Linked DNA regions of Rhinolophus ferrumequinum. The protein of the gene in region 1 interacts with the protein of each later gene in a pairwise test. Links are inferred from orthologs where the notes say so. Each region holds a gene or a part of one and is shown on either strand. Other genes may lie near its edges.

Region 1 (7,388 bases):
GGTGGTGATATTGTGTGGATGGAAAGGATAAGGAGATGCCAATGAGGTTTAACAGGCAGGCAGGGGCCAAATCATGAAAAGCCTCGCGTGCCAAGCAACGCAAATGAACTGAAGGTGAGATGACCACTGGCAGGAAAGGAAGAGGCACTGACTGGGATTGCCAAGGTGAGTAACAAATGCCGCTGGCATCGCAGAGCATACCTAGTGGCACCAGTATTTATACTTATAGGCAGAGAGAAGGCTGGCACCATGGTTCCTCCAGGTCATCAGGAAGTGAGGGTGCTGGCAAGGAAGTGGGATCTGAGCCAGCTAGGCTTGAAGTGAAAACAGTCGGGAACAGATATTCTTGGGCCACCTCCAGGAACCAGAGATCACAACCAATTCAGAGGAGAAGGCACAGTTTGAGGAAGGGAGTGAAAACCCTGAATGGGTGAGAAAATAGAGAGTAGCATTCTCAGATTTTTTTTGAAATGGAGATTTGGGGATGATAAAAAGATCGAAGGGGTGGCCCTGAAAATGGGCAGTTTAAGAAGAATAGAGATAAATGTCCTTACAGTTGAGGAGGTCAAGGATGCCAGAGGGGTCATCGAGAAGGATCTGGAAGCCCTCAGGATGGGGCCAAAGTTCACAAGGAGAAGAGACGTTTCACATCTTTGATAGATGGTATTGGGTGAGTATATATGAAAGAGCCAATAAAGAAAAAAAAATATGACAACCTCCAAAATAGCTGCAGCCATTACCAAAAAAATTGAATAACTGACCTGGTTTATGCAAGGATGGACTCATAGAAAAATAAAGATATTCACAGTTGTGGAATAGAGGCCTTGCGACAATTGTAGAGACAGAAACAATAAAGTCCTTTTTTTATTCCTATTAAATACAAGTGTGCTGGCCACAAATGTGTGTAATAAACCTTCATAAAATGTGTACCATCTCTACTAACTGATGTACTCCCTCTACCCCAGAAAGCACACAAACCAGAGAAGTGTCTGCTCTAAATCGTAGACCTAAAGAATATTCTAGAAGCTCATGTGCAAACCAGGCAATACACAGAGTATGAGTTTGTGGGAGAAATGTAATGTCTTCCACATATACAGAACCAGATGGCATCTATCACATCAGCTGATATTTGTGATTATTACTATTATTTTCCATAATTGCCCTTCAGGGATCTGCTTATTTGCATCATTCTAAGTACTTTTAATTAGACAATGAAAGATTTGGAGCTAAGCTAGTTTTTAAAAAACCGAGGCCAATATGATGGAATGTATACAGCAATTCCATCTCATGATGCTAAATAATTTCAGCCAAAGAGGATTTTTCTGGAGATGACTTTTATTAAAATCAGATGGAATATGTTTTTTGTTGTGGCATTCGGTCTTAGACAATTCTACAAATATGCCATGAAAAAAACAGAAGGAAGCAAACATGGGGCGAAGTAATTCTAACGAATCATGAGGCATAGGCTTAGCAATAGGTTCATTGCCAGGAGGAATCCTTGAGAATGCCAACCTCCATTGTGGTGACTTAGAAGGAAAGGGCTTTGAAAACAGGCCTCCTTTCCCCCTTCAGATTTCCCTGTCAAGACACATAAAAGAATTCAAACTAATCAAAAAGCCCAAGTGAACCGGCCGGTTAAGTAGGACAGGCCCAACCTTGAGTTCAGAGAGCTTTCTAATGCATTCCACCTGCCTCTCCAAGGAACAAAATTGACAGGATGTGGTGACTGCAAAGGAGACTTGCTTCTAAAGAGAAAGATGCTCACGTGATAACCGAAATGGCATATCACGGAAGTTTTGCCTAACACTGAAAATATTGTCACTCTTAATACATTACCCCATGCCCAAGATACTGAATTTCCTTCATTCTTCCTTTTTTTTTTAAAGAAAACAAAAACTGTTTAATCATTATGAGAGAAGTAGCCAGCAGTACTGTGAAGACCTGAAGCAATCAGTCCTTGAGGGTCTTTATAATCTGGTCCCAACTTAGCCATCCCAGTTCAGTGTGCGATGGATCCTCCAGCAGGATGAATATTTCATTGCGTGGTATTTCCTCTCTCTCCGCACCACACAGCTTCCTCCCCGGCACACACAGGCTACGATGGCTATGGTCACCCCGCCTCCACCTACGCTGGAACTGTTTGCCCTTTTCACTGTCTCCAAATTCTTCAAGGTCCAATTCACGTTCCGTTCTCCATGAAATCTTTCCCATTGGCACTAGCCAACACCAATCTTTTCCTTTTCTGATAATCCCTCCCACTTACTGTCAAACTAGGGATAGAAATTGCACTGTGTTTGGACTTACATCTTGAAGATTCCGAGGTTACCTCTGAGCTCATGGGTACCCTTGGGCGAAGACTGTGAGAATGGTACGGGAGGTGGCAATGGAGCAGTATGTGTTTCATATTCGCCAACCCTGGTCTAAACCATCCATCGGGGCAGTGGTTCATATTGGAATTTAATTTTATATTGTCTCACATCACCCAGTTCTACAAAGTTCCATGTTCTTATGGCTGTTCTGATAAGATTTTCAGATTTTAAAGGTGATAGACTGATGAAGTTACAGAGAAAGACAACCATAAAAGAGGTCATAGAGAGCTACCACTGATCAGTCTGAAGGGGCCCCTCAAGTTGGCTTTCCTTTCTTGGGGTTGGTATGATAGGCCTCAAAAAGATTTCAAGTATACACCAGGGGTGATGGATTTCCTGGTGTGTTTTCTCATTACACACACACACTCACACACACTGAAGGGATAAACCAGATTACTGGTTCATTTGCAATTGGAGACATTCCTTCCTAGACACTACACTCCCCAAGGCCACTTCTTCAAGGTACTTCCTTCTGAATAGAGGATAGGTAAAAAGCTTCATAGTGTTTAGGAAGTTGCCCAGTGAGCATGAAATCAAAGCCTTCCTCCCCTTTCTTTCCAGAGACTAAAACTGCACTGGCTCTGCCACTTGCTGGTTGTGCTGTCCTTAAGCAAACGCAGCCTCTCTATGCCTTGCTTTTTCCAGCTGTAAATGTACGTAGCAATAGTGCCTAACTTACAGACTTGGTGTAGAGCGCTTAAGTGGCACCTGCTAAGCACTTATTCAAAGTTAGTTCTTTATGAATATTTATATTGTTTCACCAATACTTTAGAAATATCATTTCCATAATAATATAATAGCCCGAATGAAATAATGAAACTCATATTGATTTTTTAAACCTTTAAAGATTATTCTAAATCCAGGAGTACCAAGACACATCTCACTGGGGATGGCTGATTATGTGAAATACACCTTTTTCCCCCCCTCTTCTTTTATAAACCCTTTTTGGGAGTGAATTCCACTCCTGGTCCAACTCTTGTTCTTAATTTTTATTCATCAGACCTTTTATGTAGATGGTTGTGTGTGTATGTGAATATAGTAAGTGAAACCCCATAGCCTTGAGGCCTTTGGATAAAGCATTATGCATTGTCACTTCTTGCAAATTCTTTTCCTCTGCACGCACCAGACTCCCAGCCCCAAACCTGACTATGATTCCCCTCTCCCAAGTTGGACCTGGTGCCCTTCAGAAAAGGTGAATGATTGACACACAGGGAAGGCAGGCTGCTGGAGCCAAACCTTCTAGATGATTCATCAGGTTGGCAGGCTCGCCCAGTCCCTCCTCCTGTCCCTGGGGAAACCCTGTCCAGTGAAGGGGTAGCCTTTTTTGCTGATGTTTCTCAATGGAGTATCAAACTGGAGGACTGGTACTTTCCCCTGAAAGACCTGCATATCAAGTCTTTGCTGCCTTCATCTTTGTGTTGTTTTTAAAATTAAAGAGTAGCCACACCTACCTTCGTTTCTATTGGATAAAAACATGAATGGGGGATTTTTGTTTGTTTGTTTTTTAAGCTTCCAGCTCTTTGCGATGCACACCCAGTTTCCAGGTGAGGAAGGTAGTTTAGAGCAGTCTGGAATGGCTCAGTGGCTCAGGAGAGGAGCCAGCAGTCTTGCAAGAGAAGTACCAGAGCCTGCCCTGCACAAACACCCCCACCTCCCACCCCACTGCGCCCTTGACTAGAATTTCTCCTCCTTTCCTCCCTGGTTGTTTTACAAGGTATTGAATGACTAGCTATACCCAGTCCCTGCCCAGGCCTAGGGAGCGAATCAAGACCTGGCTTCCTTCCCTCCTCCTCTTTTCTCTCCCCTCCCATTCATCTGTCTGTTTCCCCACCCTTCCCCAAGCCACAACACCAATCAACCAACCAACTGGTCGAAAACCCTCTAAAGTAGTACAATATTAGAACCTGTGGAACCAAAGCAATTACAATATCAACAGGAGGGGGAAAGGGGAAAGAGGGAGACAGTATAGGGGGAAAAATAGGAATTTCAACATTTTTTTTCTTCAAGGGGGAAGAAATGTCTCTGGGCAAGCAGGTCATCCTCCTGGGAAGGAGAAGCCACAGTTTCCCCAGGTAACACATTCCAGAGAGTGAATGAATTGTCCAGAGATGCTGGACAGGGGCCACAGAAATACACAACGTTTAAATCCAATGATGGGAGTTGTTTACAATCCTCTGAAAGATGCCAAAGGGTTTAACAGTCAGTGGTAATAGCTCACAGCTGTGGTGCTGGCTGGGTTGTAGCGTTAACCTGTCCTCTCCTGCTGGAAAAGCTGAAGCAACACCGTGACTTGCACAGTGTCACACTCCAAGCTTGGGACAGAAATAATTCTGACTCCTCCTTCCTGGCTCTAACCAGCAGACAACGCCACATTATTACTGTACTATCATTCAAATCTGAATCATTTAAATTGCTCCTAATTGCAGGCCTATGGTGAACTGTAACTGCCATGTGACTAACTGCAGGGCCAGCAGAGGTAGGAATGACTGAGGTTTGAGACTCCTGAATATGGAATGAAAATGCTGGAAGAGGGTAGGAGTAGGGGAAAAGCGTTTGCAAACTTGACTTTGAAACTGCTGACAAGTGCCATACTTAGATTTTGTTTTCAATGAATTTGAAATGTCATCTCCAGTTTGTTATTATATTGTAATAGAGAAGCACTTGGGGTTCAAATGAATGCCATTCAAAAAGGCATTTGAGTCTAAATCTCAGATATTTACCAAGAGGTCAATCTTCACACTCTTCCTTTTTATGCCCACTAAACTACTGTCGCATTTTGATGTTTAAACTTCCTTTTAAACTCTTTCGTAGGCAGCTATTGAGAGGCGGGTGGGAGGAGAGGGCCAGGGAAGCATCCAGGCTTATAAATTCAGATCTGTCCACGGGGCTGGCCACGTGTCATGCTCAGGAAAGAAAGTACATTCCATCCAGCAAATTGCTCTAACTGATTCATTTGTCCACGCAGAGACGCCACCTACCTGCTCGCAGGTATTCAGGTAAATGACAGGTGGGCGGGACCTACTGACTGTTTCAATAGCTAAGGGCCCAGCAATGTTTTATCTGTCCAGGCTCCCGTGATGTCACACATTTCCTGCTCTCCACCGACCAATGCCCTCCTCCTTCCTCTAGGCACCTGTACGCAGAGGTTGAGGCTGGTCACAGCTCGGCCGGCTCGGGGAGCTGCTGGATTCACCCACAAGGCATGGGAGCTGCAGGGCTGCCACTGTTTTGAGAGCCCCACACAGACACTTAAAAGGTGAGCTGAAACTCCTTTTTTCTCCCTTGGCATTTAGACCACTGGCCCCTGAGGGATCCAAATCAGGAATTTGAATGAAAAATTTAAGCTGAATGGCTTAGCCCTGGGTGTTTGTCCCAGAGGGAGAAGCCCTTTTGAGAGGGAAGAGCAGAGGGATGCCTTTGACATTTTCGTTGCACAGGAAAGTTCTCCCAGGCCAGATATTTAATCCTTTTTGTTTCTCTTAATCATTAATCCAGCTTCTGCTTGTCTGGAAAGTTGATCTGATTTTTTTTTTTTTTTTAACCCTGGAGTGGAGTAGAGACTTTTTTGAAACTTAACTCAAAGGTGCAGACCAGTTCAGCCCGTTTAATGGGGGTTGGGAGGCCAGCGCCAACTGAATACAGAATTGGCTTAACGGCCTTATTTTGCCTTACTTTCTTCATTCATCACACCAGATTTCGATCTAAATCCGTGAAATGTTCGTAATTTTCCCCCCCTGAAAGTCTGTTTCTCAGATAGGTAAGTTCTGTTGCCCTACTCAGAAGCCCCTCCACTCCAGTTTCCCTTTCTCTTTCTTCTCTAAAAAAAAAAAAGTCTGCTGTTTTCTTTGTTCTCTGTTGAACACTCTTTTTAAACCACTTTGCAGTCTGGTTAGAATTATTTACTTTCGGACCTGCGCTGGCTGCCTGTTGACCTTGGGTTAAAGTATGGACTATTTCCTCATTGCTTTACAAAAACGTAACTTCAGGTCTGACATTTGATTTTTTTGAACTTGTGCACGTTTTCTCTCTCTTTTTCTTTTAATAGCAAATATACCAAGGAGATTGTTCTGCCAGGACCAGACTTTTTTTTTTTTTTTTTAAGTAATTTTACCTCTAGGATCCATTTTTGTTTTCTTACTCTTGATCACACAGCCGGTACTACTTCTATTCTTGACAGCCCAAGAGCCACACTCTACACCCAATCCTGTCGTTAGAGAACGGAAAGAAACCACCTCCAAACCCAGTACCCTACTGGGATGAACTTGGGAGAGAAATCCACCTTCCAGGCAGTCATTTCATTCTGGGTTCCTTCGTAGGTTATGTTTTCTGAGATTTCAGTTAGCAAATATGTTTGCAAAAGAATAACCTGTTGGGAATTATGGTCACACTCATTCACCCAGAAATTCAAACTGCATGTCAATTCTTCAAAAGCATTAAGTTGAAACAAGCTGAGAAAATTTTTGTCTCCAACAATTGCTTCTCACCGCTGAGAATCTGCCCTGTGCTATTGTCAACAACGCTCTTAGTACTTGGAGGCTTGTATTATTCTTTAACTGACCTTTGTGTCTGTTCTTTTCCCTGAGCTGGTGTGTTTGGGTGCTGGCTACTGCTTGTTCCTTATTAGTGTTCTCACTTGATTCAGAGTTCTCACTTGATTCAGAGTCAGCAGAGGAGAGAAGAATATCTCTTAGACCCTGAATCTTCTGGATAAAAACTTGTCTTTAAAGTCGCAAACTTCTCCCACCAGTTTACCATGGTTCATGGTTCTTTGCGCGGTAGTTAATTTATGATTGAACAAATCATATCATCACTGTATGTCAGCCTCTCTGGCTATTAAAGGAACAAAGCTGTGGCTACCAGGCCCCCAGATATAATAAAGGAAAAAAAATATAAAGATAGCAGTTCAGGGTCAGGTTATCTAGAATGCAGTTTGTCTCTTGAGTAATTTGCACATGAGCATTGTCTGAAAGGATGAGAAGACCCGCAGTGGTTCCCTTCCTGTAGTTAACTCCATCTCTT
Region 2 (7,465 bases), on another chromosome or scaffold:
CTGCATGACACCATCTAAATGTTTTAGAGGACTGATTAAATAGACTGTGGTCCAGTCATAACAATGGAACACTATCCAGCCATTGAAAAAGGAAAACACAGATCTGAATGTGGATATGGAACAACTGCCAAGAAAGAGTAAGTGAACAAAGGCAGGTGTACGATAATGAGTCTAGTTTAAATGTATGTGTACACACACACACACACACACACACACACACATGCCTATCCACGGAAAATTTCTGGAAGGCTACCCAAGAAAGTTGGTAATGGCTAGCTCCATATGGAGAATGGAATTGAGTACGTGAGGTGAAGATTCACTTTTCATGATATAAACTCCTATACTGTTTGGAAAAAAGTGTGTGTGTGTGTGTGTGTGTGTGTGTGTGTAATATAATATACTGGTATCACGTGTATAAGTCCTGTTAACTTTCTAGGCGATGTTCTAAGAGTATTCTTGCTAAGTGGTTTGAAGATAGAGGAACCAAAAGTCCTATTCTTGTCCCCAAACTTAGAAAACAGACAATCTGATTATGTCTAGAGTTGTCAAAATGTGGAGGCAATGTGTGAAAAAACTAAATATGCTCATCTTTCAGAAGGAGATCAACTGAGATGTATATACATAAGTACAGCTAAAGAACTAGGTCAGCCTCCCACCAGGCCAGTCCAAATAAAGCAGCAAGGAAATGAGCTGTTCACTCTTCTCTCCTTGGAGGGCCCAGGGGTGCTCTGTACTTGAAAAGATCCGCAGAACCATCCCAAAGCCCTGGGACTCAGGCTGGCTCCCAAACATTCTGCACAGGGTTTGACCCAAAGCCTCGCCAGGTCTCTCAGGCTCCAAGCTAGTATTCCACAGCATCAAGGAACCAAAGTAAGTATGCCTGAGTACAGAGGGCTGGCTTGAACAAAGGAAGTCACTTAAACATCTTCTAGCCTCCTGTCCCTGGGTCCCTCTGCCCGACGACACTGTGTGCCTTTCACTTTAATATTCTGTTGTTTTATAAGACACATTACCTTCTTTTTTAAAACTTCTCTTTTCTTTCCCACATTTCAGGCTCTAATGAAAGGATGTTTCACTACAAATTCCTGAGATGTGATGACACAGTCTTTTTGCCATTCCGTCCCAGGCATCTCAGCCTGATGTTCAGAGAGTGTCTTAGGGAGAAACCAAGATGGTGGGCAAGGCATAGGCTCTCATATATATATGACTTGATACCCAGGGTGTGCAGCGTAACAGTCATTCTAGGCCCCCAGAGAGGGAAAATCACTGGCTCTGAGATATTCTGGAGCCAAATATTCTCGTAGTGGAATAGGAGTTGGGAATGGGTCTCGATGGGAAGATGGCAGGAAAGACTAGGGGCTGGGTACTTAGTAAGGATGGCAGACGGCAGGCAGACAAAAGGTGGGTCCCAGGCATGGCTGAGGGATGGCCGGACAATGAGCCCACTGCTTCTCCCCAAACATGCTGCCCCAAGAACTTAAAAGGAAGCATTTTCGTGGTTAAGTTAAAAATCACTTGTGTTCAACACATTTCCTCCTAATTTCTGATACAGATGAAGAAATGAATGTTCACGATGTTCCTTATAGCAGCCATGCCTACTGAGCCAGCCAGCTCTGATCTATTCAGAGTTTTTACTTTATTTGCAAGGGGGGTGTGTGTGTGTCTTTTCCCCTTACTCTCACTGAAGTTTGTCCCATTTTGTAGATTACTAGAACCTATACCTCTGGCACAGGGCAAACAAGAAAGCCCATTTATAAACCATTCTGGCTTATGCTGCTTTTCTTTATGAAACCAGTAGCTAAAATGATATCTATGAATTTGATTAGTTCTGCTTTGCCCCGTGACCACATGTCAACCCAAACTGGTTGCATTTCTGGGACATAAAATTTCTTCTCTGCCTTCTCTCTGCTTAAGTGACCTCAATCCTTTTTAACCCGCAGGCCCCTTTATTGACTAGTCTGGAGTGGGGGACAGGTGTGAAGTTTAGTTGGGGAGGATTCCTAGTCTCCTGCCCTCTAATTCTGCCCCCAAAAGATGGATGCGCTGAGCTTTGCCTTAAATACAGATAGTTTCACTGTCATAATGGACTTTTCTCACAGGGTTTATTTTTTAATGTTTCATTATCTCAATGCTATTTTCTCCAGATTTTCTATAATGTTCTCAAAATCTGAAACTCCGAACTGGAATGTACTCTAGCAAACTGTTACACAGCCTGGGGAGGATCACCTTTCTCCTAGTTTCTAGGGGTCTTCTTTCCTCTGTCCATGCGCAGGCTGTCCTCTCCAGCCTGCAGAGCAGCTGCTGACTCACGCTTACTTTGGGATCTGCTAAGCCCCCAGCTCATCTTCTGCCCTTCAGCCAGGACAGCCACCACCCAGCTCATACAGCACTCTGCCCATCACCTGGGAGCTCAGCTCTGACCTGATAAGAAGTCTCCCACAAGTCTGCAGTGCTTCACCTGGCCCTGGCCCTGGCCCTTCCCCGGCCTACCTGGAAGACGTCGTTGGCACACTTGCGGCACAGGTTGTGCTGGCAGGGCAGGATCACCACAGGTTTGGAGAACATCTCCAGGCAGATGGGGCAGATGAGCTGCTTCTCCAGGTTGTCCATGCTGTGTGCATCCCCGAGCAGCGGCTTGAAACCCACTGTGAAGTTCATCCCCTCAGCGATCGTGCCTACCCTGGCCTTGGCTCTGGTCCTGGCCTTCCCTCACTGCCTCAGAACCCTTCCTCTTTTACTTTACACAGTCTATGGATTCTTGTGTTCCCTTTTGTTGCTCACTCTTGAAATAGCTCTGCTATCTCTCCTGTCCCTTCCTCTGACAATTCGCCTTGTCCTTAGGCAGCCTCTTTCAGACACTTCTCGTCTCTCTCTTCTTTGCTCTATACCCCAGCCAGGCACATGCAGTTTTCTCGTTCCCTCACTCCCTGCGTGATTCTGTCCCTGGAAATTTCTCCCTTTGTTCCCCAAACGACTAGTGTTCACTCTATGGGCAGCACTGTTTATTCCTCACTCCCCAGGGAGGAGATTAATTTTAACGTGGGGGTGGGGAATAAGGGGCATCTGTGTGACATTCCAACTCCCAATTTAGCTCATGTAAGGCGAGCCACAGCTGTCACCGAGTGAGTGACCCTGACTCACTCAGGCATGGGTGGCTCTCTTGAGCAAGAGCAGGGGTGAGCTTGACTGCTCGTGGTGAAAGGTGGGCCAGCAAAGGCATTGGGCTCTCACTCGCTCTCTCACTCAGAAGGCTCCTGTGCCCTCCTGACCCCCATCATCTGGCTCGGGCCCTTCTTCCAGGGCAGTGGCACAAAGTCAAACGGCATGACACAGTCAATCAGCATACATGGCTCAGGGTCGAAGGACAGATCTTGCCAGACCGACAGACAGTCATTGAAAATGTCTGCCTCCAAGGATTAGCCAGTGGCCCTCTTCCTCTGAACCCCGTGATTCTGTACAGGAGCACTAGCAACTAGAGAGAGAGGCTCTGGTCCAACACTTCTGGTCCACTCTTGTTCTCACCCAGAACTTTCTTAGATCACCCAAGGAAAAGAAGCTCAGAATGCTAGAGCTGGCAGTTGTGCCAGGGACGACCTCCTGAGCATGCTCCTGAGAAAGTGTGGGACTCTGGTCCATAAACACATCACTGGAGCCACTCCAAGGACTTTAGATTTGTCAGGAAATTGAGAGAAGCTGAGCTGGGCAGAAAGGACCTGAATGCCAGGCACCTATTTTGAGCACCGGGGGAATTGGTCTCCAGGGAAATTTGAGGGCACTGACATAAGCACAAGGCTCTGTCCGGACAGCCTCGGCCCCGAGTCCACAGTTGTCCTGGATTCCCGCCCTCTGAGGCAGACTGGGCTCAGAGGGGAGCTCTCCTCTGTCTTTTTCTCGTACAGGCCTTTTTCTCTATCCCAGGCACAATTTGTCTTTTGGGGGCCCCATGTATGCACTGGGATTGGACAAAAGCTCTTTTATTTACTTACATTCCTTAGTCCTTCTCCCAATCAGGAAAGGCAAGTGTGAGGAATTACTAGGCTCTGGTCCTGGGTGGGCAGCAAATACATGGTGCACAGAGGGTACCAAACAGGCAGTGCAAAGAGGCGTGAGTGGGGAAAGGGTCTGTAAAAGTGCAATCTTTTTTGTATCATATGTTTCATGCCCCTGTTTTTAAAACAAAATATATCGTGATCAGCCTGCGTAAGATGTGGTAAAAAAAAAAAAAAGGAGGCAAAAACAGGCACTGATGTGTGAACTTCAGTCAACCCACAGAACCCATGCTAAGCTCACTCATGGGGGCATGGAATGAGGCTGGCAATGCCAAGTGTATGGGCACCAGAAGAAGGTGAAACCAGCCCCAGAAAGGTGTACTGGCTTAGAAATGAGGCTGATGCTAAGAGCTCTTGCTACACAGAGTTGCAACAAAGGAGGGTTAGCTGGTGCCACAGCTCTGGGATGGGATCCACCCTGCTCAGGTTCTTGGTGGAAACATCACAAGTGACTCAGAGACCCTACCCCCCACCTGACATTGACTCAAATCCCAAGGAAGACACAGGAAAAAGGATGCTTGGGAAAAGTCTGTCTTCACTGTCTGAGGGTAGGGATGGGAGGTCTGCTCTCTAACAGATTAAAATTGAGACTGGAGCTAAAAAGAAGAGTAGCTGGTCGACCCTGTATTCCCAGGATGAGACAGAAATGGCAGCCTTCTAAAGTTGGGATGCTTATAAGAAGAGGGGTAAATCAAGGTCAATGTCAGGACAGGGCTACTTGCTCCTCTAGTCAACCTGTCCAGGGGACGCAGCAGCAGAAGTCACCTTCACTGGGTCAGCACCTAGGGGCAGAAGAAATTGGCATCTTATTAACCAGAATGAATGAGCACACAGAATGTAAGGCAAACCCCCTATTGGTAAAGATATAAACACCTGTAGTCCATACTATAAGGATATAAACTTTCCACTAATGACTGACTCATCTGCAGTTAGTGTATATTCTTTTCTTATCCTTTAATCATTGCTACATTTCAGTTTTCATACCTCACTCTTCTTCATCTTTTAATATTAATCTTCACTATAATTGTCTTCCTCTCTAAAATTTCCTTGGTTTCCTATGATGGAATTTGAAAAACATACATATACAAACATTGAGTAACAGTATTTTAGCCTCCTGGCGAGAAAACCGTTACTTTGCAGTTACACGTTAGCATCACTAGGTGGCACTGCTGTGAACTTCAGTCATTTTACCGTTTAGCTGCAGGGGGATAATCTCAGACACTTCGTTTTCCTTTTGAGTAATTGCAATAAACAACATCCTCCAGCTTGTATTCAACTACTGCCTTTTCTTGGCTTAACAGTCACGAGAGGCCATTACATTCAAACTGTCAGTTTGTGGCATAAGCCCCTCAAAAACTAAGAGTCTCCCTTTCTCTTTCTTCACTTTGCCCCAATACCAACTTGAGACTCTCATATTTAGGGGTTCACAGTTTCAGCCCCAACCATTTATTTCATTCCTAATCCAGCTGTTACCTCAGTCCCGGTCTATGGTTCTCACCTGATCTGGAAGGCTGATTTTGGACATTCTGCTGGAATTTTCTGCTCGCTACCTCCTCAGGTGGCTTAAGTGCTCCACAGCAAAAACAGCAGCAGCAGCAGCAACAGCAACAGCTGAGCAGAGCACAAAGGAGGATGAGTGTCTACAAGGTAGGAAAGAATGGTCTCAGTCCAGCAGCTCTTCCATATATCCATTCAAGCTCCCCTCCTCCTGCAGTCCTCCTGGCACCCAAATAACGAGACAAAAGCAGCATTTGTCCTAGGAGAGGAGGTAAGGAGTCCTAGGTGAGGAGGGTTACTTCCTTCCTTCCTTCCTTCTTTTTTTTTTTTTTTTTGAGTATGATATTATTTTAGCCAAAAATTGAGAAGGAACTAGCTTAGGATATGGTAAGGAATGAGTGTTTTTAAATAGAATAGTGTGTACAGAAACCATGAGAGGGTAAAGGCTTTATAATATCGGAGGCATTAAGAGAAGAGTCTTGCCAGGAGTGAAGTGAGTGAGAGAGAATGGTGTGTGGTTATTCCTCCTTCCTTATTCTTAAGGGACTAGGAAGAACTGCGTACCTTGAACCAACAACTATTCAGTGTAAAATAGTATCTGACACCTTCTTCGCCAAAGTGATCATATAAATACACTCCCAGTGAGCCATGCTGGTTGTAGATTTTCCTCTTCTTAGGGTCACTCAGTACGGAGTGGGCGGTGTTGATCTCTTTGAATATTTCTGCTGCTTGAGCGTCCCCTTGATTCTTGTCTGGATGATACTTCAAGGCCAGTTTCCTACCCAGGCAATACCCAAAAGGAGGGTAGGGAAAGAATAAGGAGTGGCTGGGGAGGGAGGGTTAGGATGAATGACAGGAATAGGTCTCAAGATCGGGAAGAAGAAATGCATAAGATGTGGTAGAAAGGATGGATGGAGGCAAGCAACCCAAGTCTAAATTCCTTCCCATGCCACACTGAAGTGAAGACTTAGGGATTCAAAAGTGGGCCAGAAAGCAATTACAGGGTTTAATAAGGGGCTGAGGTCTGAACCTGTAGGCCTTTTTGATGTCTTCAGGTGAGGCACCCTTCTGAAGCTCCAGCACTGCATAGAGAGTTGTCCCACTTTTGGACAGCTGATAGGTTGCTTCATTCACATGAGACATGATCTAGGTCAGAAGAGAAGAAGCATTCGTGAGAACTTACAGGTGAGGCCATAGAGAAGTGAACGTGCAGTGGCGGGAAACTCATTGCCTTCAGGGACTGGGCAGGTAAATGACTATAAAAGGACAGTATACAACAACAACGAGCGGGATCTGTGACTAGCAGAAGAGTGCAGGTGACCAGAAAAGACATTCAAATTCGAATTTTAAAGAGGAAACATCTTCTCACATTTTCTGGTGTCCTTCAGCTACACAGACCTCAGGATACCCCACATCCTAGAGAGAGCAAAGAGAGGTCTCAACATGGGAAGAGACTGATTTCGTCCAGAGCTACTAGCACCTGAAGTAAACAGCCCTGGGCTTTTCCAAACTCCTTGCTGGGTTTGAGAGACCAGTGCAGCCCCAATCCCTGAACAGGTTGGGGTCAGGAACTGGGGAGATCCACAATTCCCAAGGGAAAAAACGATTCAGAACAAATCCTAAACTGCCTAAGATAGGTCAGGTGTCCAGTAGCCAGGCCAAAGAACAGTGCTACAAGCGAGGCCGGAGACTTTATTCTTCCCCCAGCCTCCCCTCTCAACCTATCCCAGCCACTGCTCAGAAACGGGGCAGTGGGGTGAACAGAGGGGTGAAGAAGGAAGCGGAAAAATATAGCTGTGGGAACAAGAAGCAAGACCCAGAGAGTAGGGAGAGCTTGGGAGGCTGTGCCCCAGCAGAACCAAGGCAACAAGTTCACAGGGGAAGGATCTGTCTCCCCAGATCCCCTCTGGCTGTGAGGA
Region 3 (7,753 bases), on another chromosome or scaffold:
GTACAGCGTATTACAGGTTTTGTGGTTGCAAAAAGTTATGTAGTTGAAAAGTTTACTGATATTGCTACCCACCTAAGCCTAAACTAAATCTAATGTTCCCACCTGCAGTTTAATTTGTAAATTAAAGTGTTTTAAACATGAGTCAATTATGAGTATTAGTTTAAAGGGGAAGGTGAGACTTAAAAAGTATTCCCAACTAGATTATCTACATCAATATGTTGGAATTCTGTAATTTGCTTTCATTTTGTCTTAAAAAAATGAAATAGCAACGCTATATCAGTCACACAGAGGACATGCAGATTTAGCAGTATTGATATTATACTCTATCTGGTTGGGATTAAAGACACCCTGTACCCACATGTACACCAACAGCAGGTCACACATTAACAGTTGTAACTAAGCACTGTGACAAATTAGCCAGTTCTTCCCACATTAGTCCCTATTAAAACAAAAAAAAGGGGGGGAAGGGAGCAAAATAGTTACAAAATGGGCAATGTAATTTTGCCACAATTGCCAAGGTTTAATAGGCAAAGCAATTGTAGTTAAATATAACTGCATAAGACGTTTGCAAGTGTTTTAAGGTAAATGCATATAATCATTTTTAACCCTTGCCTTTTAGTATAAGGTCAATACTGCCAATTTCATCTGTGACAATAGCACTTGGAGTCATACCATTGCCTCCATTATTGATCTGATCCTCCTCAATCCTCCTTTTGACAATCCTAAAATGATTGAAATGTGCTCCACAATCCTTAATCCAAAGCATTCTTAATCCATCTCTTCAGATATGTCTACAGAAAGACACATGAAAAGCAAGATAAACATAAGAACTTCCCCAGGTAAGAACCACAAACACCCCCAATATCCCAGTTCACACAAACCAGAGCAGAATAGACATTTACACAATATCACAGTCTGAAGAGCATGGAGAGTTAACTAAATTTAAACAATCCTGTCTATGACATCACTTAAAATACAATTTATCAGACATGTGGGGAATGTAAATGTTAGGAGCAAGGGGATATTACACAAGAATGCAATTCAACACTTTAACCCATTCTGAACAAAACAGTTTGAATTAAAAAATGAAAAGATTGTACTGAGTAAAGGAAAACTGTATACAACATGGGTTCTACAAAAAGTGTCACCAATCATCTTATGTGCGAGAGCGAGATCTGCTATGACGGGGAGAATAGCGTGGTGATCCTCTGCTTCTCCTTGGGGAGTAACTGCGACTCCTGCTGTTGCTTCTGCTACGGCTTCTGCTACGACTACGGCTTCGAGATCGAGATCTTCCATAACTTGGACTTCTGGGCCCATCAACTTTAACCCGGATGTAGGCAGTTTCTCCCTATTGAATAGACAGAACTTTCGATTGAAAGATCTAAGCTTTTATCTGTCTTCAGGCATGCTGAATGAATACAATGTAGCTAAAACCAGAAATCTGGCACTTTACTTGGGCACCCTTGCCTGAAATCTTACCTTTAAATTCCACTGTTAAGACCACTGTATCCAATTCTGGCCAAAGAAAAGAATAAGTGTATAACCTACCTCATGAGATCTAAACTTAGTGTTATCCAGTTTTCGAACTGCATAGGTCATATCTTCTTTCCGTACAAACTCCACGACACCAGTGCCATCTCGGTAAACATCAGCATAACATACATCACCTGCTTCACGCATGTGATCCTTCAAATCCTGCCAGCTTCCACTTGGAGGCAGTCCTGAAAAAGTGTTTTTTTTCCAATACCAATTATCCTAAATTTCTCATTAAACTTAATTTACATTAGAACAAAGATTACTTTAACAATGATTATATTTAAGATCCTAGGTAAATAGCTAAGATTCTGGAATCCGGACTCCAAAATTATCTGTAAGGTAAGGATCTTCATATTCTAGGTACTGCAACCTAATTTGATAAATCTCCATCGCAGTAACCCTTGTTTCCTCAATTCACACAGAAAGCTAAATTTAAAACTTCCATTTGTCAAATTGGTCACGCAAGGAAAACGTTAAGTGGTTTCTGTCCCTTCTCATCAATCCACATTAACAGTAAACTCACCAGAGACAACCACTCTGTTTTCAGATCGCCTTGATGGGGGGCCGTAGCGGCCTCGGGGAGCCCCGCCACCTCCACCCCCGCCGCCGCCTCGGCCTGTACCACGGCCGCTTCGAGGAAACTCCACCCGCAGACGGTATCCATCGTAATCATAGCCGTCGCGACCATACACCGCGTCTTCCGCGTCCCTGCGTGATCACAGAAAGCAAAAAGAAGTAAGAAAAAGGACCCGGAGAGGCGGCTAACTCAGCCGGGAACTAGCGACCCCCCGCACATGCGCACCCAGCGTGGAAGAGCCCACATGCGCCGCATAATAGGAAAAGCCCCTCCCCCACCCAGAAGCACGCCAGGCTCCAGACTACACCAGCCCTCAACGCCTCAGTTTCCCGCTACGAGACTAAGTCGGTCTGAGAAAGTCCATGGGGCCCAGCCATCCGAAAAGCCACACGAACTCAGCTACTTATTCAACTCCTGCCTGGGCGATACCGTCTTGCCCCCAACCTAAAAGCCACCTTCCCATGCTCTATGTTAAGGCCGTGGAGCTTTCCCCAACTACTCCAACCTAATTCCACAAGGCCGCAAGGCCCAGGCCGCCTCACCGCGGGTCCTCGAACTCAACGAAAGCGAAGGGCGGCCCTCCGCGGCGATTCTTGAGATCGATGTCGCGGATAGCACCGTACTTGTAGAACACGTCCTCAATGTCCTTGGTTCGGATATCTGGAGGTAAGTTACCCACGTAGATGCGGCAGTCGTTGTTCCCTGCTGGGCCACGAATCACACCACCTCCCGACATGGCGGCGACGAAAAGCGCGGACTCGAGAACAGGCCTTCCCACCAAGCCTAGCGCACGGCAGAGCGAGCCCGCAGCGACACCACGTCTCCCGCGGCCCCTCCAAAATGGCGCCTTTATCAGCTCGGCGCACGGATATGGGGGGAGGGAGGAAGAGAAGCGGGAGGAAGCAGCTATTTGATCTCAGTACGCACGCGCACGAGCGTAACGGGTGCTGCGAAAGTACGTTTACGCACGCGCGACGTTACCCTCCGCGCAAAGGGAAAAAAAAGTTCCCCGCGTTGCGGATTTGCGGAGTCGTTTGCTAATGGAGTGACCAGCCGTTTGGTAAAAAGATACAGAGCCCTCGTTAAAGGGGTTATTGATCCCTTTTGACTCTTAAGAGAAAGTCAGTTTCCTCAGGAATGAACCTCTTTAAAGCAACTCGATCCCTTGAAAGGATTTGGTGAAACCTAGCCTAGAGCCTGTCCCACCATGCTCTGCGGCGTCAACGGCCTTTGGCGGGAAAAGACTCCCGGGGGCGGAGTCAAAGGGGGAGGGACCAGGCAGTTGCTCTGGAAACGGGGAACTCGGAGAGTGCGCCTAGTCCGGGAGCCAAGGCGTGACTTTGTCTTCCTGCCCCTTCTGCGAACAAGCCTTGGCCGGCTTAGACAAGTGTCTGATTTAGGGAACCAGCTTAGATTTCTTAGTAAATATTGTACAGTCAGTACGGGTCCACCTTTGGTTTAAAACTTAGTATAGCTCAATTCAACACTCCTTGTGCTAGTGGCGGTGATTCGTTCGTTCCTTTTTTTGAACTCATTACCGGTCCTTTCAGGTAATATAAATGGGCAAAATGGATATGTGAGAATTGTGATCACTGGAGACCATAGTTGCTGCTCAGGATTGATCCTACTTCCATGCTATCCCAGGGAGATAAGAACTTTTTACATTTTTTTCCCCCAGAGATATTTAAAATCTGAATTTTTATGTGAAATGTTGGGATTTTAAAATATTAGTAAATGAATTCAAATTTTTTAAACACCCCTACAGTCGTACATATGTTAAAATACATTATACATTTATTTGCAACAATCCCTCTCCCCAGGAATGTGAGGCAATTTGCAGAGATAACCATAAAAAATTATTAAAACTGGATGAAATCAGGGAGAATGGGAAAATGAGGGAGGGTTAAGATGAAGTCATGGATAAGGTTACTACACAAAATGCCTGCAGTAATAGTCTGGTGAGTTCCTAGAGAAGGACTGCAAATTTGACTGGTCATCCCAGAAGTCACAGTAAAGTCAGGAGCACAAGTGCGGATATTCTAAATCCAAAGTGTCTTTGAGATTAAAAAAATAGATCGTTTAGGAGATAGTCATTATTTCTTAGTTCTAAAAGTTGATTGAATGTATTTTACAAATGTTTGGTAGTCCTTGAACTGTCTGTGATGGTTTCTAAAATTATGTGTATATGTATGTGCATGGAAATTTTAATCTGATTCTTAAAGGGGGCTGTAGGTCCCAAAAGGAAAAGGAACCTCCTAAAATTTTAGAGGGAAGGACATCGCTTGACCATCCTTCAATGATATTTTTGAAACCAAGACTTTAATTAAAAAGAGAACAACTTGATAATTTTTTTTTTAAAAGCAGGCGCAGCTCACAGTGGCTCATGCGTGGATCAAACCCGGAACCTTGGTGTTATCAGCTCCACGATCTAACCAGCTAAGCTAATGGGCCACCCCTGATAATTTTTAAAATGAGAAGCTGACCAAATGGACACTATTTTTTAACAAATTTACTCAGTTTCTAGCACTGTCCTAGTTGGTTTGTAGCAGAGAGATGAGAAATTTTTTTAAAATTGCAGTCATCTCATGTATTCGTTATTTTCATTCAAGTTATTTACTGAGCACATTTTCTTTCTGTTCTAACTTTTATCCATCAATTTGGAATTATTCGTGTTCATCTTCTGTTGATAAATGTTAAGTAAGTGATAACTGAAGTGATTTAAACATAGGTGCGTTTAATTTCAAGACATTTTCATTCCAGAAAAATAAGAAAACTGTGAATTTGCTTTGATTTATTCTTGAGTGTTTGACTTAATGAAATCATTTATGATTTTGTTTAATTAAGAAGAACACAAGGTAGACTTTAACATGAGTGAATGGGACATTCTTGTTTCTCTATTGGCATCTTTTATTGTATTTGAATAGAACCAAATTATAGGTTCTGGGGTCCATGATGAGGTCAGGATGTGGCACGAAAGGTCTGGACGGCTGTTTATCAAGGTCTCCCAGGATGACATTGGCTTGGTGATTATTACAGTTACGGGGTGTGATATTATTAGTGTACCAGAGTTGATGAACATATTTTAGTCCACAAGAAAGCAAATAAATAAAATGATTTGTTCATTTGTTGGGTGGTGGGGCAGATTCATTTTTGATAACTAGTATGCTCAAATTGTACATACCAAGATAACTGTTTTGGCAGGTCTGGAAAGCAAATCAGGAAGTTGCTTAGTAAATGAGAACTCAAAATGAGGTGAGTCATTTTGAGAGATATTTTATTCAGATCATGGTGAGACCTGCTAAATGATCCCTGCTCCACACAGAGTATACCTCTTCAATGACAGGAAAATTCATACCCCTTGGATTTTGTGTCTCTGGACAGAGCTGGGTAAGACTGGCAATTCTCTTTCTGTAGGCTAATCTTCACTCAACTTTCTCTAAACAGTGTGCTAGGCAATTGATTAGATTTCTGCTGACTGAATTACAACCACTTGCAGTTTTGCCTTCTGAGATTACATCCTACTCTTAATTAGAGGTTTAGAGTGTTTCTAAACTCCTCAGTTATACATTCACAGGCAGTTATATGGATTGCTCCCACAATTAGCTAATTTATTAAGTATGGATTTTACCAGCTTAATTCTCAGAAGCTGCTTTATTTTTAACACTGTTGGTGTTTGAGGAAAAGTGACTTCCTCAAAAAGAAACTCTTTAAATGCTTTCAGTCCAATTTAGTAAGCATATGCTAGTGTTAGCACTATACTTTACCCTGGAAATAATTACTTGGGGGGGGGGAAATAGAAAAGAAAGAAATTCAAAAAGTTAATTACTGTTAATGTTGAAATCAGAAGACCCAATTTTTCAGTGATTTGCTGAACACTCAAAACTCTATACCTGTGATGATAGTTACACAACTCTGTAAATATATTAAAAATCATTGAATTGTGTGCACTTACAGTGAGTGAGTTGTACAGTATGTAAAGTATAACTCAAAACTTGTTAAAAATGACTGGGGGGAAAATAACTCCACAAGTAGCAAAATCACTCTGTAGTACCATTCCTCTAAAGGCATTACTGGGGTGGGAGTGTTCCAGAGTAATTTGCACCGAAATATGGCTACCCTAATCTGGAAATTCTGTTTTTAATATTCATGTGTCAATGCCAATGCTTGTCTTCCTTGGGGATAACTTACTTTTACTAGGTAAAGAAAGAGACACAAAGATTCGGAATATTGTGTACGGGAGTTATCTCCAGGAACAGTTCACTTGCATAATTCTGTATTCATTGTTCCACTTGTTTTAGTTGTAAATATTCTTGAAAAAGGAAGAAGTAGTATATGTCTTTTTATTTAATTTATGTTTGTCTCATTTTCACTAGTAAACTATGCTGAGGACAGATTTCTGCTGTAACTTCCTTTATTACCAGTAAATTCTCTGTTAAAACCAATATTGACGATTTACTGACTGCTCTTTGAAAAAGGTGGGATGTTAGATGAGCAGAATGTTGTTTCTATGGAAACATCATCATGTTGCTGTCAGTGGATAGACACAATGGGTATAAGGATGGTTTTTCATTTCACTATCGTAAGGATGGCCAGTTTTCAAGCTCAAATAAGTCAACAAATAATATTTTCTTGGTAATCATATTTTAGGACTGGCCTCCCTCATTCTTTGGTTCTAGTTTTATTTTTGGCTAATTCTTTCCACCTTTATTGTTCCATCATTGATGCCAGTAGGATATGATTTTGCCAGAAAATAGCTCTCAAAGTGATCTATTACAAAGAGGTATATTGTCATCATGTCTTCCTCTTCCTAATTATTACTCTCTCTCTCCCTCTTCCTACTTAGCTCTTTCTCTTAAAAATTGAAACTCCACTTCATATTGCACATTTCTTAACTGGAGTGAGTAAATGGGTCTTTAAGGAATTATATTAAAAATATGGCAGGTATGCTTTATTTGCTAAAAATATTGCCCTTTTTTTTGGCAATTAAATCTTATAGTGTGAGTCCTATATAAATGTTAGCTATTAGTAGTAATAGTGGTATTACATGTTAATACTGATGCCAAGTATGTTAGAAGTAATTTCAATAAACTTTTATTTGAAATTTTGAGAGAGTGATTATTTTTTTCCTCTTTATTGTTTTAGAAAGTACCCCAGATTAGCTGAAAACTCTCAGAATTACTTTTCTAAATTTGTTTGCAGAGTTGAGTAGTTGCAACATAGACTACATGGTCCACAAGTTTACTTGGCCCTTTACAGAAAATGTTTGCCAGGAAATAGTCTGCTTTTGTAATTTTTGCTTGAACCTGATTCAAATATTCAGTGTTGTCATGTTCTCTGTCTCATAGGTGTTTTTGTCATGGGTAAGATCTTACATTGTTAATAGTTGTAAACATAAGTAATACACTTTTTCAAGTGAAATGTTGCTTCCACATGCTTCATCAGTCATTACTACAGTTTAGTGATAAGGTACCAAGACCTGGTGAAAGCAAACTCCCCTGCTGGTCTGCCAGCCTAGAACGGGAGCTGTTGCTCTGTTCCAGTTGGTTGCATTTTTTTTGTGGGGGGGGTACTCTAATTGGCTCAAAATGCTCACTGCCAGAGTGTGGGTTTCTGGAACCATTTTTGCATAGAAGTGAT
Region 4 (7,082 bases), on another chromosome or scaffold:
AGCATTAAAATCCTGTAGGCTACATCTACCAGGAATGGTTACTTCAGCAAGGAAGACGTCTGGAGAAACACACGAAGAAACTTATTTAGAAAATCAAGTCACCCAGAAGCAAGCATATTAATTACCTGGTTTCTGCACGGTTTTAATTGGCACGTGCAAAGTGTTTTGTTCCACCTTTTGGGGGAGTCACAGGTAGCGATAACAGACCTGAGTCCAAAGGCAATCCATGTCAGTTGCCCCCAGCTTGCATAGCTGAGTCCAAGCTCTCTCCCCTGAGAAATGGAGACATCCATGTGAGCCTCCCAAAGATACAAGCATGAGAACAGAACAGGATAGCAGGCGCCTTAAGGAGCCTTGGAAACTTTAAAATACTATGCAGACATAAGGTAGTGTTAGCATTTGGACCTGCCACCCATTCCACAATACAATGAAGATTCACATTGCAGAACCATCATCTCTGTACAAGTTAGCGCAGGAATATCAACTCTAGTATCGAGATTCAGAGTAACCTCTAAAATAAAACCAGTTTCCTTTAGAGGCAAAGAGTCAAAAATATAGCTAAGAATAAAAACGCTTTCCTCAAGTCAATAATATAAGATGGTTACCAGATTTAAAATCAAAGCTTCCTAATAACCATCCAAATTCAGATTTAAGACACTTTTAGAAATGCACTTGTAATTTTCGAGTTATATAACAGCGTCATTAATATTTTAAACGATAGGACTTTGCATCCTAGATATCAGCCTCTGACTTAAGGGAAAAACGTTTCAGTCTGAAATAATCTAAATTGACATTAATAAGAGCACATGAGTAGCACTTTTATTCCTTCACATAAGGAAGGAGTGAGAAATGTACTTCTTACAAAAATTACATTTTTGATGGAAAAGTAAGGTAATCAGGTTTAACATCTAAAAAAACATTAAATAGCAATACTGTCCAATATCTATTTCAAATAACCAGAGGCCATTAACACTAGTAAAAACACAGAAACCAAAAGAACTTTAAATGTATTAGCAACACAATACTATGGCACACACAAAAAATCTGACTTTTGAAATAACTCATTAAACTTTTAGTTAAACTGTTTCCTTAACTGAGTACAACGTAAGTTTGATTCAGCTTCTCTATGAAGAAAAATTCACTCGATTCTACAGTCCAGAATACTTCTAATGCCACTCATCTCACACAATGTACAAAGAAATTTCTTTCACAGAGATGACAGCCCAGCAGGCAACAAAAGATCTATGTAAATCATAAAGAGCAAGAAGTACAAACCTAACTGTAGGACTGTTCAGAAGGGCATGGGAATAAAATTTAAGAATACATATCCATTACCTTTCCACAAGCCCGTTTTAGTAAAGCAAGCAAGATGAGCCTAAAATTAAAACAAAATGGGAAAGCGCTCTATACTGATGCCTGCTGAACAATTCAAATATCATGCTTCAATTCTTGGAGACAGTGAGTCTCTCCACCACCATCAGTCTGAGGAACTGGTTGTAATCGGCAAACGTCGGAGATTGCTGTTTTAAAATATAGATATCTATGTACAAATAGAATATGTCTGCCTCATTGTTCACTTTCGACAGTGAAAGAGCCAGGGTCAGCGTTAAGACCAGCAGACCCGATTCATCTCGGGGACGACAAACTGTCACTGCACAGAGTGAGCCATGCAAAAGGTAACACGTCTGACCGGATAATGTTTCTGCCATAACCCAGAAGAAAAGCAGACAAGTGGGCCCAAACCCATCGTTATCTGCAACGTGAATTCCAGACACAGGAGGAGAAGAGGTCTGCTCCCGGGAAAGAAGACTTCATTTACCTTCCATCCCAGAAGATTATTCAGGAAGCTGGAGGATGAACAAGCCAGTGGACGCTGTCCCAGGCAGGCACGCCTCCATTCAGCCCTGTGTGCCCCTGTCCTGTAATTCCCAGGACTGTTCAAACCCTGAGCTGGCTGGACTAGTGCTAAAATGGTATGGGCAGCAGACTCCTTGGCCAGTGTTCTGAACCCTGAGCCAGCCACCAATGAGGGTCGCCCACTCAGCTCTTCCCAAAATGAGGACAGGCAAGCCAAAAAGGGGCACTTGTGTCACCTCTTCTCCCCTATGGATCCCTGCAACAGCCAGCCTGCGAGGCTTGGCATGACTTGTGCACCCCCCAGGGAGGGCAGACCGCCCCACCAGGGCTGCTAGAGCCTGGGCATGGAAGAAATACAGACATGAGAGCGGGAACTGGGCTCAGCCACTAGGGCAGCTGGGTCCTGCCCTCCCGGGCTTGGGGTCTGCCCGCAAACCTCCTCCAGGGTCCTCAAACTCTCACTAACAACCCAGCACCTGTTCCCTTTGCATCTTCTGCATTTGGTCTCCTCAAATCCTTCCATTTTCATCCAGCTCTTTCTCCAGTTCTTTAGACTAACCACACTAGTTTCCAGAGCTACCTCCCGATCTTCCCCTCCGATGAGATAATACAACCCCCGCCCCACAAAGTCCCCAGATGTTCGCTGTCCCCCACCCAGAAGTTTCCCTTGGGTGTCCTCCAGTCCCCAAGGATTGCCTTCAAGTGTCATCCCAATGCCCCAGGCTTCTCCTTCCCAAGTCTCCCAAATTCACATCTCTGGCTTTCCCCAGGTGTCCCATATCTCCCAGGTCCCCACCCAAATGCCCCCCCCCCCGATTGCTACCTGGGGCCCTCCTCTCCTCCCCGAGGTCTATTTCCAGCCATCCTCATAGTTCTGCCTCCCAAGCCCGCCGCATCCTACCCGGTGCCGACCCTCCCGTCTCCGAGCCCCCTGGCCGCCACTTCCCGGCCCCCATGGCCTCGGGCGTCAGTTAACGACCGGCGGCGCACACCCTCACCTTGGTTCACCAGCCGCAGAGCGTGTGTGAAGGAGGGGTCCAGGGAGTCCTTCTCCGCCATCAGCTCCGGCAGGTACTTCTCCTCCATGCTCGCGGGCCGCCCGGGCCCCGGACGCGGACTCGACGCGGGCGGGCAGCGGCGGCCCCGCAACTCGCGACCGCGCCCGCGCCCCAGCGGCGCGGAACCCGGGCTGGTCGCCGCGGCCGCGCCAAGCCCGGCGGTCGGCCTGGCGGAGGCGGCACGGGGTGGGAACCGACCGCGCCGCCCGGGTCCCCGGGAGGGGGGGCCGCCCGCTGAGTGCCCCGCGCTGGCGGCCGCGCCTCCCGGATGCGGCCCCCCGCTCCCCAGCAGAGGGCAGCGGGCGCGGGCGGGCTCCAAGCGGGCCCGCGGGCGGACCGGCGGCGCGCTCAGCTAGCCTCCCGCAGTCCCGGGCGAGCCCCGCCAGCCGCCGCCGGCGCCCCGCTCCGCCGCGACCCGCACTCCGCTCTCCCTCCCCGCGCTCTTAGCCGCCGCGCCGGGCCGTGCCCCTCCCATCCCACCCGTCCCCCCCCGCCCTCCTTCGCCGCCTCCCTCCTCTCCTTCTCTTTATCCCCCCCCCTTCTCCCCCTTTTCTCCTCCTCCTCCTTACCTGCCTCTCCTACTTCGCTCTTTCCGCTTTATTTTCTTCCTTTCTTCCTCCCCCCTTTCCGCGCTCTCCTCCAGCCCTGGGGACGTTGGGAGAGCCCCGCGATGCTGTTACAGCATTGCCAGGGGCAGAGACCGACAAACTGAGGCCCAGAGAGGTCAAGCGGCCGGTCCAAGGTCACCCAGCGAGCAACCCCGGTGGGAGAGCTGTGCAGTGGTACCCGCGGGTCAGGGGTCAGAATGGGGGAGAAGAAGGGAGGGGAGCGCAAGCTCGCCCCAGCGCGCGCAGGGGAAAGGCAGCCGGGCGAACCGCCCTGCTCTTTAAGGCTCCCAGGACTTGCCTAACTTATTTCGCTTTGCTGTCCCCTCCTGTTTGCAAGGAAAAAACGCAGGCTCGCGGTCCCCGCTGGGCGCCGGGCTGTGAGCGCCTTCCCCAGACCCTCGCTGGCAGGTCGATTACATAAAAAAGCGCGTGTCCTTCAGGGCGTCTTTGTCATCCCGAGTTGCCATCGGGTTGTCATTCTCTTCGTCCATAAGGCGGCTGTGCCTGGATTGGGGACGCCACAGCGCATCCCCTCGCGGGGAGAGTCCCTGGGAAGCACGTGGATGCTGGTGTGCTCTGTCCCTCGCCTCCCCCTCTCTCAGGCCGTCTTCAGACTTCCTGAGCTTGTGGAGTAACCATCCCCCAGGAGGCCAAGGAGCCTGTCCTGCTTTCCCCTACCAAACCCCCACATCAAGTCCTGGCTTCAATGTCACCTTCCCTGGACAGCCTTCCAAGGTTCCCACGGACCCCCCCCCCCCCGCCCCTCCGGCCCCAGCCAGCAAAGCTGGTCAGAGCTCTATGCACCCACCAGGGCTGGTAAGCCCTCATTTACAGAAAGCTGTCATTCTGTTTTCATCAGACCATGGGCATCTCACCGCAGGGGCTGGAATTTTGTTTTGCAGGGAGGATCTTCAGCACCTGTGCGTTGGGGCAGGAATGGGGGCACCAGAAATGTCTGCTGGAAGAATAAGCCAGTGGCATGCCACTCCTCTGGCAAGCTGCGGGGGGCTGAGCCGTCCTCCCAGTCCCCCAGGCAACCCAATGATGCAAATAGAGACCACTCTTCAACCACAGATGCTGAGAGTGGAGATCAAGGAGCTCTGAGCTGCTCTGAGTCTCAGTCCCCAGTGCCCAACTGCCCTCACTCTCAGACACCCCACGCCCTGCTCCACCCCTAGACTGACCTGGCTCCCACCTAAGGTGCCATTTCAGAGTCCCCCGTAAGAATTTTCTCTCTGTCGTCTTTGGTCTAAACGTGCAAGAGGCAGTCAAATCGGAAGGTTAAATGTGTGGCCTCTGGGACAGACAGCCTGAATGTGAAATCATGGCTCTGCTGCTCACTAGCTGTGTATCTTGGGCAAATTACTTTTCTGTGCCTCGGTTTCCTCATCTGAAAGTGGGGATGATAGTAGAACCCCTTTCATAAGAGAATCATGAAAATGGAACACATCAACGCGCAATGAAATCCCCCAAACAGTTTCCAGCACATTGGAAATGCTTGGTGGTCTTTGTTGGGTTCCTCAGCTCCCACCCTTCCCCCCCCCACCCCCCACATGACTGCTTTCCAGGTCTCTCGAACCTCTCCTTCCCCTGGGTTGAAGCTTCCAGGGCATTTAGCAAACCCTACCCCTTGGGGTCCTCCCTGCTGGACAGTCTGCGTTGCCCCAGCAGACTGATGAAAGGCCTGGAACAACATGACTCTTTCTGACATGGGGCCGAGCGGAGCTGCTTGGACAGCAACATGGATGGCTGCAGTTCCAGCTCCTCTCTGACTCCCTGTACGACCTCAGCTATTTAACCTGTCTGAGCTTTGGAGACACATCTTCAAAACCAGGGTTATGCCAGCAGTCCTGGAGGGCAGTTGGAAGGATTTGTGGGGAAACGTTTTCCCCTGTCACTTCAGAATGGAAGGCATATACCTCTGGCTTATATGCCTACAACACAGGAATTACATTCTAGGATTTGAGTTTCTGACAGCACCTTGTAAAGAGAGGAAGAGGACAGTGTCTGGGACGTGGATGAGCCCCAGGAGACGAGAATGGGGACCAGATGCTCAGGTGAACCCCTCTCCACTTGATCTTACACTCTCCTTTCCATTCGGAACTTCGGTCCCAGTGACGGTCCAAACCTTGAGTAATCACTGTTTTAATTAAACATTTACTAAGTGCCAGGCATGATGCCAGGGGCTTTCATTCACGATTTTCAGTTTTCTCCACACCTTGTAGGGAAGGTATTATTCATCACCACTTACCCATGAGGACACCGAGGCTCAGAGCAGTGTGATACTTTACTTAAGGCCCACAGCTGTCAGCAAGGGATCCCAGGCCCACGGACTCGCCTCCTGAGTTCTGCCCTCCCAGGTAGCAATCTGACACTGGTGACTGGCTCCATCCCCCGCCTTCATCTAAACAGTTGGCAGAGACGTCTCGCCAACAGCTGGGGAGGAGGGCTGTGCACCAGAACATCGACAGCAAAGGCACTGAATCCTCTGCTCTCCCCTCCTTGTCACAGAACCTTCCAAGAGGGCAGGTACCCAGCACCATGAGCGCCCATGTGGGCCCCCCAGGGAGGAAGGAGATGAATGTCTCTGTGAGATGCTCAGGCAATGTCCCCACCCACCAACCTGGCTGAGCTGCTGACTGGCGGCACCTCTGCGCCTTCCTGCAGACTCTCTGATTTTCATGCCATGGCCATCCTGTGAGCCCTTTGAAGATGAGCAAATCGGGTTGGGGAAAGGCGGTCGTTTTCCTACAAGCAGCACCTCCACTCAGGTCTTCTGACTTCCAGACCAGAGGCACATACCAGTACTCACTGAGCACAAACCACGTGCAGGGGCTGCCCTGGGTACGTACAAGGGGCGAGCTATGGACAACACAGGCTTCTTCACAGCCACTCCTGCCCAGGACCACTGGGCCACTGCATGGTTTGCACCTGCCCTGGATGGGAGGTCCTCAGCTGCAATAAGAAAGTGGCTGCCCTTCCTCCTGAGAACCACAGGCCAGGGATTCAACTCAAACCCCAGAGGCAGAGGACACTTCCCAAAGCAACCTCACTCGGTGTCACGCAGCTCTCTCAGGAACCACTCTGCCGCACAGCAAGTCCCTTAGCCCCAGCCCAGTACCACCATGACACTGTCTGTCAGAATCCCCACCTGTCTCCTCTCACCACCCGCCCTGCCCGGAAGAGAGGACAAACGCATGCCTTCCCCCCCCCGCCTTCGTGACACCAACTACAGTAGGTCAGACCCTCCTGCAAAAACTCAGTGTCATCAGAATATACCAACATGGAGGGGGTGTGTCTCTGAGGCAGTTGTCATGTTTGTACAAATTGCTGCTCACATTACAAGCTTCCTATTCCTTTTGTTTAGAAAGGAGAGCCCCACCCCAGTTACCCCAGACCCTGCAGTGTCATGGGGGCTAAAGTGCCAATCTGACTGGACCGAGGGCCCGAGAGAGCTCTGCTTGGCCCCCGGTTCTCCTACTCCCTAGCTATGTGATCTTGAGTCAGCTACTTGATGTTTCTGAGCGTGGAGAGAGAAAATACCTGCCTCCCACGGTCA

The links. The genes of interacting proteins can lie anywhere in the genome.
Region 2: the proteins of LNX1 (region 1) and TRIM54 interact in binary tests that used the Homo sapiens proteins (3 or more experiments, as listed by UniProt). The link is inferred for Rhinolophus ferrumequinum from reciprocal best matches to the Homo sapiens genes LNX1 and TRIM54.
Region 3: the proteins of LNX1 (region 1) and SRSF1 interact in a two-hybrid assay, tested with the Homo sapiens proteins (3 studies listed by BioGRID and IntAct). The link is inferred for Rhinolophus ferrumequinum from reciprocal best matches to the Homo sapiens genes LNX1 and SRSF1.
Region 4: the proteins of LNX1 (region 1) and KHDRBS3 interact in a two-hybrid assay, tested with the Homo sapiens proteins (2 studies listed by BioGRID and IntAct). The link is inferred for Rhinolophus ferrumequinum from reciprocal best matches to the Homo sapiens genes LNX1 and KHDRBS3.

What each region holds. Positions count from the first base shown.
Region 1 is NC_046288.1:16,132,838-16,140,225, reverse strand, and holds the start of LNX1 (E3 ubiquitin-protein ligase LNX), read left to right. Parts: upstream 1-4,376; 5' UTR 4,377-4,441; intron 4,442-5,498; 5' UTR 5,499-5,625; intron 5,626-7,388.
Region 2 is NC_046296.1:53,402,348-53,409,812, forward strand, and holds the start of TRIM54 (tripartite motif-containing protein 54), read right to left. Parts: upstream 3,012-7,465; 5' UTR 2,659-3,011; coding exon 2,491-2,658; intron 1-2,490. Other genes in the region: DNAJC5G (dnaJ homolog subfamily C member 5G), read right to left, coding at 5,058-5,104, 5,548-5,689, 6,111-6,372, 6,577-6,689. UniProt on the Homo sapiens protein: May bind and stabilize microtubules during myotubes formation.
Region 3 is NC_046304.1:27,597,797-27,605,549, reverse strand, and holds the start of SRSF1 (serine/arginine-rich splicing factor 1), read right to left. Parts: upstream 3,012-7,753; 5' UTR 2,853-3,011; coding exon 2,659-2,852; intron 2,248-2,658; coding exon 2,063-2,247; intron 1,725-2,062; coding exon 1,552-1,724; intron 1,352-1,551; coding exon 1,157-1,351; 3' UTR 1-1,156. UniProt on the Homo sapiens protein: Plays a role in preventing exon skipping, ensuring the accuracy of splicing and regulating alternative splicing.
Region 4 is NC_046297.1:68,445,728-68,452,809, reverse strand, and holds the start of KHDRBS3 (KH domain-containing, RNA-binding, signal transduction-associated protein 3), read right to left. Parts: upstream 3,012-7,082; 5' UTR 2,944-3,011; coding exon 2,856-2,943; intron 1-2,855. UniProt on the Homo sapiens protein: RNA-binding protein that plays a role in the regulation of alternative splicing and influences mRNA splice site selection and exon inclusion. Binds preferentially to the 5'-[AU]UAAA-3' motif in vitro.